2 linked regions of the Tribolium castaneum genome follow. The protein of the gene in region 2 interacts with the protein of the main gene of each other region in a pairwise test. Links are inferred from orthologs where the notes say so. Each region holds a gene or a part of one and is shown on either strand. Other genes may lie near its edges. The genes, in order: Edc3 and Efhc1.2.

Region 1 (4,418 bases), on a different chromosome or scaffold from region 2:
TCGAGACCTTCAAAGAAATGTTTGCTAGACATGGTATACCCGAAGTTGTCCGCTCCGACAATGGCAAACAATTTGATTGTCACGAATACAGAACTTTCAGCAGAAAATATGGATTTAAGTTAATTACCAGTAGTCCCCATTACCAACAGTCAAATGGACAAGCCGAAAGTGCTGTGAAGCTGCTCAAAACGATATTGAGGAAAAATGAAGATCCATATCTTGCACTTCTTACCTACCGCAATACACCTACTAAATGTGGATTGTCACCTGCCCAACTGCTCTTTGGCAGAAACCTTCGAGACAGACTGCCAAGGTTACCTTCAGGGTTAAAACCTGCAACTATCGACCATGACACTGTCAGACAAACGTTAATCAACAATCAAGCAGAACAGAAGTCCAACTACGACAAACGACACCGAGTAACAAAAGAAGAGAAAAATCTAAAAGAAGGTGATCGCGTATGGATCATAAATATGCAAAAGGAGGGAGAAGTACAACGCAGATGTGAAGAACCAAGGTCATATTTGATCGAGACTGACGGCGGTTGCGTCAGACGAAATCGAAGACATCTTCAGCCCTTACCAGACAGAAATAATGAACCCGAACATGACCCAGAACAACCAGACGAATCAGAGGAACCAAAGAAAAGACCAATCAGAAGACCCAAAAGATACCAAGATTATTATTGTTATTGAAATATGTATATTTTGATACCTCAGGTAGTTAGTTTCATATTTAGCTTAGTTTTGTATTTAAAAGGGGGGATGTTAGGTTGGCAACTCTCACGTGGGCGACACGGGAGTTGGAGGGGGGTTTTTTGGCAGAGTGAGTTAGTTAGGTTATGTCGCAGAAGGGGCCTGGACGCACCCTCAATGCTCCGGGATATTAGTCAATAAACAGTTATAAGGTTGAATGGTCTATTTACAACTAACCTAACAAGTATTGTACGAATTCAGATTTAAATCATGCTACTTAAAATATTCTTAAAAAAAAATAATTTTTTTATTGGTAAACGACTCAATTGTATGCCGGAAAATTTAAGAGTACACGCTGACTAGCTTTAAAAAATGATAAAAATATCTAAACAAGAATCCAGAGATTTCAGATGCAGAACAGCTTTAGGAAAGAATCAGAATAATCTTAAAGAATTCTAAACGAAAGTAGAGAATTTTTATTGTTATCAGTGTTTTGTGCAATATAGTTATTAACAATATGAGTACGAAAACACAAGCTTAAAGTCCGAGGACTGTCATACAACGAGCGTATACGAGTGACATACCTGGACACTCGAGAACTTTAAGCATTTTCGCATAAATATTATTCAACTTTTTTTTTGTTGGAACATTTTAATGAAAAACACGTTGCTATGGGGAGCGTGTTTTAAAATAGTGAAAACACGTTGCTATCGGAAACGTCTAGGATTCAGATATTAAAAAAAGGCTTAAAATATTACCAAAAAAAAAGTCTGTTGCCCTTGTTTTAATGTTTCTAATACCGCTTCTTATTTAAACGTGGAGAATTATGATTTTTACCAAGCTCACTGCCTTCAAATGAGCTCGGAAAATTAAACAAACTTACTTGTGCGGCCCACACAGCACTACAACAGTGGGAAACTGGTGCGAGTTGTGAGGATTCAACCTATGCCCGCCCCCCAATAACTGTACCGAAATTTCGGCAGCTGCCCTCCCAAACAGCTCCACCCTCTTATCCCACGTGAGCCCCACTCTATCAGCCACTTCCCACAGTTTCTTTCGCAAAGACCTCGAAATGCTCGGTATAATCAGCCCATCATCCGTCACATACTCGCAAAAGTCTTGCTTAGGCACTATTATCTGCCTATACGATGCTGGAGTGCTTGCAATAACATTTTCATCATGCCTGGAACAAACCCTGTGACTGTGCCACGCTATTTTTCGCCAAACCTGTATTTCGCCGGCTTCTTGCTGTCGGCATTCTTAATAACGTCCGGTTTCTGGGAGTTGTTAATCTCGTCCCAGATGGCTTGTTTATCAAAAAGCGCCAAATTTTTCTCAAAATCGAAGTCTTTGTTGATTTTGTGGTCCAAAGGCGAGCCGAAACACTCCTCGTCCTTCCAGCCTTTGGACCACTTGCCTTTTGACTTTTCTCGCCTGACTGGGGTTCCGTTTTTGAATGAACTGGATTCGTTAAAACTATAGTTCGTGGTTTTGGGTTCGATATCAATGGGTTTTGATTTGCTGTGAGATCCGTTTAAATTTGTATGTTTGGATGCTGCATTGGCGACATCTGAGGTGCTCTGCGTTCGTCCAGCGCGCTTCGCGATTGGCTTGGCGATGGTTATTGTGCTTCTCTGTGGAGGTGAGCTTAAGTGCTTGTCAATTAATTTCAACTCTTCGATTTCGTTTGCCCTAAAATGCGATGCTCAAATTCGAGGTGTTGGAGAGACTGGGTTACCTAATGGTCACTTCGTTCGAAGGACAGGGAATGCCGTTGCAGAAAGCCTTAGTTAGAGCAATCTGAGAAGTCGTAGCTGCGCTAATTTCACCTTGATAAGCGGTATCATCGGCGCACTTAATTGAGACCATGTATCCTACCCACTGTGCCATTTTCTTTACAAATATCAATAGCACAACCGAGAGCAGATAATTTGTATAATTTATAAAATGAGGTTAGGTAACACTGCGCAGCAGATTTATCAGTCGACCTCAACTTCCCAACAAATTATTAAATACGTGATGTAGAACCAATAATTAGCACAAAACAAGAAGAAATATTTACAACAATGAACCCACAACAAATTAACAGCACCCAACAACCATCTCTTGCGACACACTTTTCGATACAGCTTTCTCTCTCGCACGTTTCACCTTTTCTAAAAATAAATTCGCGCCGTCTCTCTCTGCCCAACGCTGAGTCGCATCAACTATCTCTTTCCAACGTCCGTTAGTTAGAAATACCGTACAACCGAAATATTTTATAAAATTTTAAACCGCAAAATAGGCCTTAAGTAGCGCAAAAATTGGCAAAATAAACTCGAAAGAAGTTGCAAAATTTCGACACTTTTTATGCTTCTACAAAATGAGAATGCAGGGCCGGACTCGTTCCTAACCCCGGTCTCCCGGTGCTTCAAGCCCGTACTAATTACAAATCTGAAAGCCCCAGTTAATTTTCGTCGTAATCAGGTAGAAAAATCAACCACTGAAACGACCATAACCTTAACCGTTTTTCCAGAAATGAGTAATATCATGACTTTGGTGAAAATCGGGGCTGTGGGGGGCATAGCGACGGTCACGATGGGCTTATTATACCGAAATAAGATTGAGCAAAACATTAAAGGCACCGTTTATTACAAAGAAGCCTTAAGGACTGTGCGAACCAACCGAGGGGCAGTGCACCTCCTCGGCGAGCCAATCAAAGACGGAAAAATCGACCTAGACGACACGGAAACGAACTTCACGAGCGAGAATTCCGCCCATTACGAAGTCCCCATAAGGGGGCCCAAGCAGAAAGGGCGAGTATATTTCTGGGCCAGTAAACATGACAACAACTGGGTCGTATACAGAGTAGAGTTAGGGTTAGAAAACGAGCCCGATCGGAGGTTACTAATTAAAAACCAGGACCAGTAAATTAATAAAAGTTTATTTCTCCTTGTATATACACAATAAATTACCAGAAATTGTTGGGTAAAATCCCATTGGGCGTTTCAAAGTGCCCCTTGCTTTTATAGTCTTGCAGCAGCACCTCTAGCCTCGTCACGGGCCCCCCCGAATCAATTTTCTTCAACGTCGGCATGAACTTCTCCATGATAATCACAACCAATTTCTTGAAGGCCATTCCGTAGACCAGTTCCATCTCAAAACCAACAGTTTCGAGGAAAACGTGCAAAACGGTTGCTGTGATGTCCAGCTGTGGTTTTAATTTTAGGATTGAGGCCAAAAAAATCCACGCGTTTGTAATGTCGTAGGGGTTTTTTGTCTGTCCCCGCTTTGGCTTGGCAATGAAAATGGCAAAATACAGTCGCAAGATTCCAGTCATTCGTTTGAGAAATTTGTCCTGTTTTTCGATCTGCCCGTCAATGTAGTGGTAACCCAGGACTTGGTAGTACTCTTCGGTTGTTTGTTCCTCTGTTTTTGGGATGTAAAATGGTACCAAATAGGGGCACTCTGTGTAAAAATAGCCCAGAAGGAGTTTCCCAAAGTCGGGAAAATCGTTCCACAGGGAAACTATTATCGTTGCATAGCAAAAGGCGGCTTCTGGATTGCTAGAAATCATTAGATCGCCTTGCAGGACAAACTTTCTTGCTAGTAAATCCATACAGAACGGAATTCCTATTAAAAATTATTAATTTATTTTAACGAAACCAAAAACCCACCTTGAGGATGTTTCAGAGCATTTACTTGTCTGTCTGCCACGATCACAGTCTTCCCCGATAGCAAATT
Region 2 (4,277 bases):
TGCCACACTACGTGACTATTTCAGTGTTTACAGGTGCCACTCGATCTTCAATTGCACGAGTTGCTGCCCCAAACACTTGAATCCTGCCAAGGCGATAGCGCATCTGAGAATGCGACTTGCAGGGAAAAAACAAAAGGAGAAACCGGAGATGACCGGAATGGTGTAAAACTTGTGTTAAAATTCATTTATTTGTATTGTGTTGTGGCAGTAAAATATTTTTATCAAAAACTACGTCATAATAATTACATGCAAGACAAACACACCGATATGTAAACTTTTACACAACAACAAAAACACACGACAAAAGTTTCACAAGGGCAGTGTTTTATTTATTTATTTTTTTGGAGTCGCTCAATCGTGTTATTCACTGGTTGCTCCTTGAAAGTGTCTTCCAAGTCCAAAAATTTGTTGAATTCGCACCAGTTGATCAACTTATACTTTTCGTACTCGATCACTTTGATGCAACTCAACTCATGCTGCAAAATTCGTAAATATACAAAAAACAATTTTTTATCGAAACCTCACTTTCAAACTAATGGGTTCAACGTCTGGTAATTTACAAATATCCCGATTGACGAAATTCAAAATATCCTCGTAGCAGAGATTACCTTCGTTATCTTTCTGTATTCTGTTAAAAACCATCAAATACCGAAGAAATTGCGCGAGATATACTCACACTTGCAAAATTTTGTCGACGAGTTCTTTCTCCAAAGGCAGTCTGCAGGCCCGTAATACAATGTAGCACTCATTTCTGGGTAAAACCCCGGATTTGTGGGGGTCTCTCATCAAGAAATATTCCCTCAATCGGGCCAAATCGTCCCAAAGCCCCCGCTTTAATTCCGTCAGAGTGATTGCCCTTATTTTTTCACGATCATACTTTTCGGTTAAGTCGACATCGCCGGGAAAAGCCCGAGCGATTGTGATCATTTCATGTTCGGTGAAATCGTCGCCCAAAATCCCCAATAATTTTGCCCTAAAACCCTCCACTTATTTTCTACCAAACAAAATTTTATTTACTTGAGAGTATCATAAGGAATGGTTGTACTCTCTTTCGGCATATTTTCCGCAACAAAATCCTTGTAAGTCGGTCTCAGCTTTTCGCGAATTTTCCCCATTATAACTTTAATGTTCGCTTTCGGGTACTAAAAGCCACATTTACAACCGACTAAACCTAAACCAACGCATCACCTGATGATCGTGAATTTCCATATATCTGAGCGCATACTCGTCTGCGTCTATCAGTACGAATTTAAAACTGTTAATAATCAAAGTAGCCCCCACATACATGTCTTGGGACTTGTACGTGATTGGCGGTTTACTTGTATAGACCCCTTGATTGGGTAGAGCGACGGACCTCCGCGCGAAGAACTCCTTCGTATCAAAACCTACAATACGTGAGTAAGCCGCGCCCCGTTATCTTCACGCCACGCCCATACCCGAATTTCTAATCCCGCGCTCAAACACAGCAATCGTGTCGTCAGCCAAGTAGTAACTTATGACAAAATGCCGAGTACAGTTCTCGGGTATTTTCGACAACATTCGGGCCTCGAATCGTAAAATGTGACTGTCGATCCCGATTCGATCCAAGTTGAGGAATTTTTTGAAGTCTCGATGGGGCGCCTTGGGCTCCACTGTGATACAATTCTGGGCCGAGTCCTCATAAGAACCGTAGCCGTTCCAAGGGGGCAACTCGCGCTCCTTTTGCTCGACTTTAACCCCCGCGTGCTTGTCCTCAGGGAAAGCTATGGCGTCTAAACTGTTCAAACCGTACATACTTCTGTAGTACTCCCGGGTATAGGGGTCACAGTCAGTGAGTACCAACTTCCTCCCGTAACAATTAATCACACTTCCAATAAACAGATCCTTTTCGCAGTAGTACTCCGTGACCTCGACCCCACACGACAAGGGGTCTTTGATAAAGCGCCCCCCTTGCAACCCCGGCCCTAAAACATTTAAAACGGTGCTAGCGCAGTTGGCGCCCGGCATTGGCAGTTCTTTGTAAGTTTTAGGAATTTTGTCTCTATGCAAAAAAATAAAAGTGGTTTTCTTGTTACAATCCTCGGTCGAAACTTCCCGGATTTCAATCGTATCGTCTGCTAGGTAATATAAAATTTCCAGACGGTGCAAATACCCAAAGACTGTCTCCTGATCGTCCCAATAGCCATAAAAACGTAACACTTTCCGGTCATTTTCCAGAAACTTCCCAAGGGAATCGTCTTTCTTTTTCCCTCGTTTTTTAATCCTGGCATTTTCTTGATTACGCAACTCCAAGAAAGGATCCCCGGGAATGTTTAATGAATCCGGGACGTGAATCCCACACCGATTAAGAAAATTCCGAGTGAATTTATCACAATCGGTGATTTTAAAAACCCGGCCATAGAATTCGACCTCTTTGCCAACATTTAAATCAACAACTTCGTAAAAATTATCATCCATGGGGGCCGGAAACCGGATTCGGTGCCGACAAATTAGAGTCCCTAACAATAAACATTTTCCTCTCAAATTTTACAACTTATAAGCAACCTTGCGCAATCCCGCTATTTTCAACTTTGGGCTCAATCACCTGAATCGTCCCATCTTCGAGGAAAAAATAAATTTTGACCCGTCGCAGTGAAAAGGGGGCACCACGTACCTCCTGCAACGTCTCCTTAAAAAACGCGTCGAAGCACAAGATCTACAGAACGGAAATTAGCAAGCGTCAACATCCGACGCACCGATTTACTTGTTTGTCAAACGCGATCCAGGAGGGGAGTTCCAGAACTTCGCCCCTGGGGTACAAAGAGGGGTATTTATCGGAAAGTGGCCCGAACATATTCGGTCTGACTTTCTCGACCAATGCTGGGACCCCATCACCGATAAAATCGAATTTGGGGTCCATATTAAATTTGGTTTTTCCCAGCTGAAATGTGAGTTCGGAGGTAATCATGGTACGGGTATGGGGTTTTTACCATTGGGTTGAAGGTATAGCCCGGCAAAAAGGGCAAATCGGGGCACCGCAAAGCCATCGTGTCGTGAATTTGACGGAAACTGGTTGTCATAGAGACGTAAATAAATCAAAGCCGGTCCTGGGCTTAACTGACGTTTCGTGGTAGACAACCAGTTATACAATCAGCTGGGCCAAGGTGAGTGCGAGCAACTTTTACCGATTTTGTAATGTTGTAAATATAGTTTGTGATGTCATATTGAACAACACGAGGCGGGGCGGTTGTAATCTCACAACAAATTGAAATGCTTCAAAGATAACCCTTTAGTAGCTCTCCATTTCCTTGGAAGCAAGTATGCTATTTTTGTCTCCACTTTTAAAAATATTGAGTTTTAGAGATGAGTGTGAGTAAAGACGGGAGTCAAGCCATGGAGAAACGCTCCGAGGGCTCCAGCATCTTGAGCGTTATTTTCAGCGCAGTCAAAAAGGTAATTTTCGAGGGGCGAAGACCTCACACAAACTGACCTAATTCTAGGCCTCCATTGTCGGCATTGTGTACTTTGCGGGTTACATGCAATGGTCGGTCGCGTGGTTCATTGGCCCCATTGTCCTTTTCGTGATCAGAGACCAATGGAAAAAAGCCAGCGACAGGAAACGCAACATAGCAAAAGCGGCAGCTTTAGCGAGCGAAAAAGACGTTGTTTTGGCGAGACTTGATGATCTTCCAGCCTGGGTATGTGAGGTCACTTCTGACTCATTTATTGTTAAATTATTACTGAGATAAGGGAACTGTTTGCAACAGTGTTGACCACAGAATCTATTTTTAGGTGTTTTTCCCTGACGTTGAAAGAGCCGAGTGGCTCAACAGAGTGAGTAAAACTCCCACAAGTAGAACCTTCGCCTAATCCCAAATTTCCAGATTATTAAACAGGTTTGGCCTAACATTAACCACTACACACGCGACTTAATCAGGGACACCATCCAACCAATTTTGAAAGAAAGCCTAGAAACGTATAAACTGTCCGGTTTCAAATTTGAACGCATTATCCTAGGCACCGTGGTAAATTGATTGCCACTTGTTTCTCGTGATTCAATGGTTTTTTCAGCCGTTCCGAATCGGGGGTGTTAAAGTATACGATAAAAATGTAGCCAGGAACGAAATTATCATGGATTTGGACATTTTGTAAGTTCTAAGACCACAGTTCAACTTTATATTTTCTCATAGTTATGCCGGCGATTGCGACATTACGTTCTACTTGGCCGGGATCAAGGGCGGAATCCGCGATTTCCAGCTCCACGGCATGCTCCGCGTTGTGATGAAGCCCCTGATCACCACAATACCGCTGGTGGGTGG

What was found.
Region 1: the proteins of Efhc1.2 (region 2) and Edc3 interact in binary tests that used the Homo sapiens proteins (3 or more experiments, as listed by UniProt). The link is inferred for Tribolium castaneum from reciprocal best matches to the Homo sapiens genes EFHC2 and EDC3.

What each region holds. Positions count from the first base shown.
Region 1 is NC_087396.1:13,257,838-13,262,255, forward strand, and holds the start of Edc3 (enhancer of mRNA-decapping protein 3), read right to left. Parts: upstream 2,818-4,418; 5' UTR 2,586-2,817; coding exon 2,434-2,585; intron 2,388-2,433; coding exon 1,923-2,387; intron 1,879-1,922; coding exon 1,579-1,878; intron 1-1,578. Other genes in the region: mRNA export factor Gle1, read right to left, coding at 3,646-4,307, 4,352-4,418. UniProt on the Homo sapiens protein: Binds single-stranded RNA. Involved in the process of mRNA degradation and in the positive regulation of mRNA decapping. May play a role in spermiogenesis and oogenesis.
Region 2 is NC_087398.1:5,344,350-5,348,626, reverse strand, and holds Efhc1.2 (EF-hand domain-containing family member C2), read right to left. Parts: upstream 3,090-4,277; 5' UTR 3,039-3,089; coding exon 2,949-3,038; intron 2,900-2,948; coding exon 2,723-2,899; intron 2,675-2,722; coding exon 2,524-2,674; intron 2,478-2,523; coding exon 1,437-2,477; intron 1,386-1,436; coding exon 1,189-1,385; intron 1,143-1,188; coding exon 1,018-1,142; intron 974-1,017; coding exon 677-973; intron 629-676; coding exon 526-628; intron 477-525; coding exon 330-476; 3' UTR 304-329; downstream 1-303. Other genes in the region: succinate dehydrogenase [ubiquinone] iron-sulfur subunit, read left to right, coding at 1-166; Esyt2 (extended synaptotagmin-like protein 2a), read left to right, coding at 3,322-3,411, 3,459-3,656, 3,751-3,792, 3,843-3,983, 4,030-4,106, 4,149-4,277. UniProt on the Homo sapiens protein: Microtubule inner protein (MIP) part of the dynein-decorated doublet microtubules (DMTs) in cilia axoneme, which is required for motile cilia beating.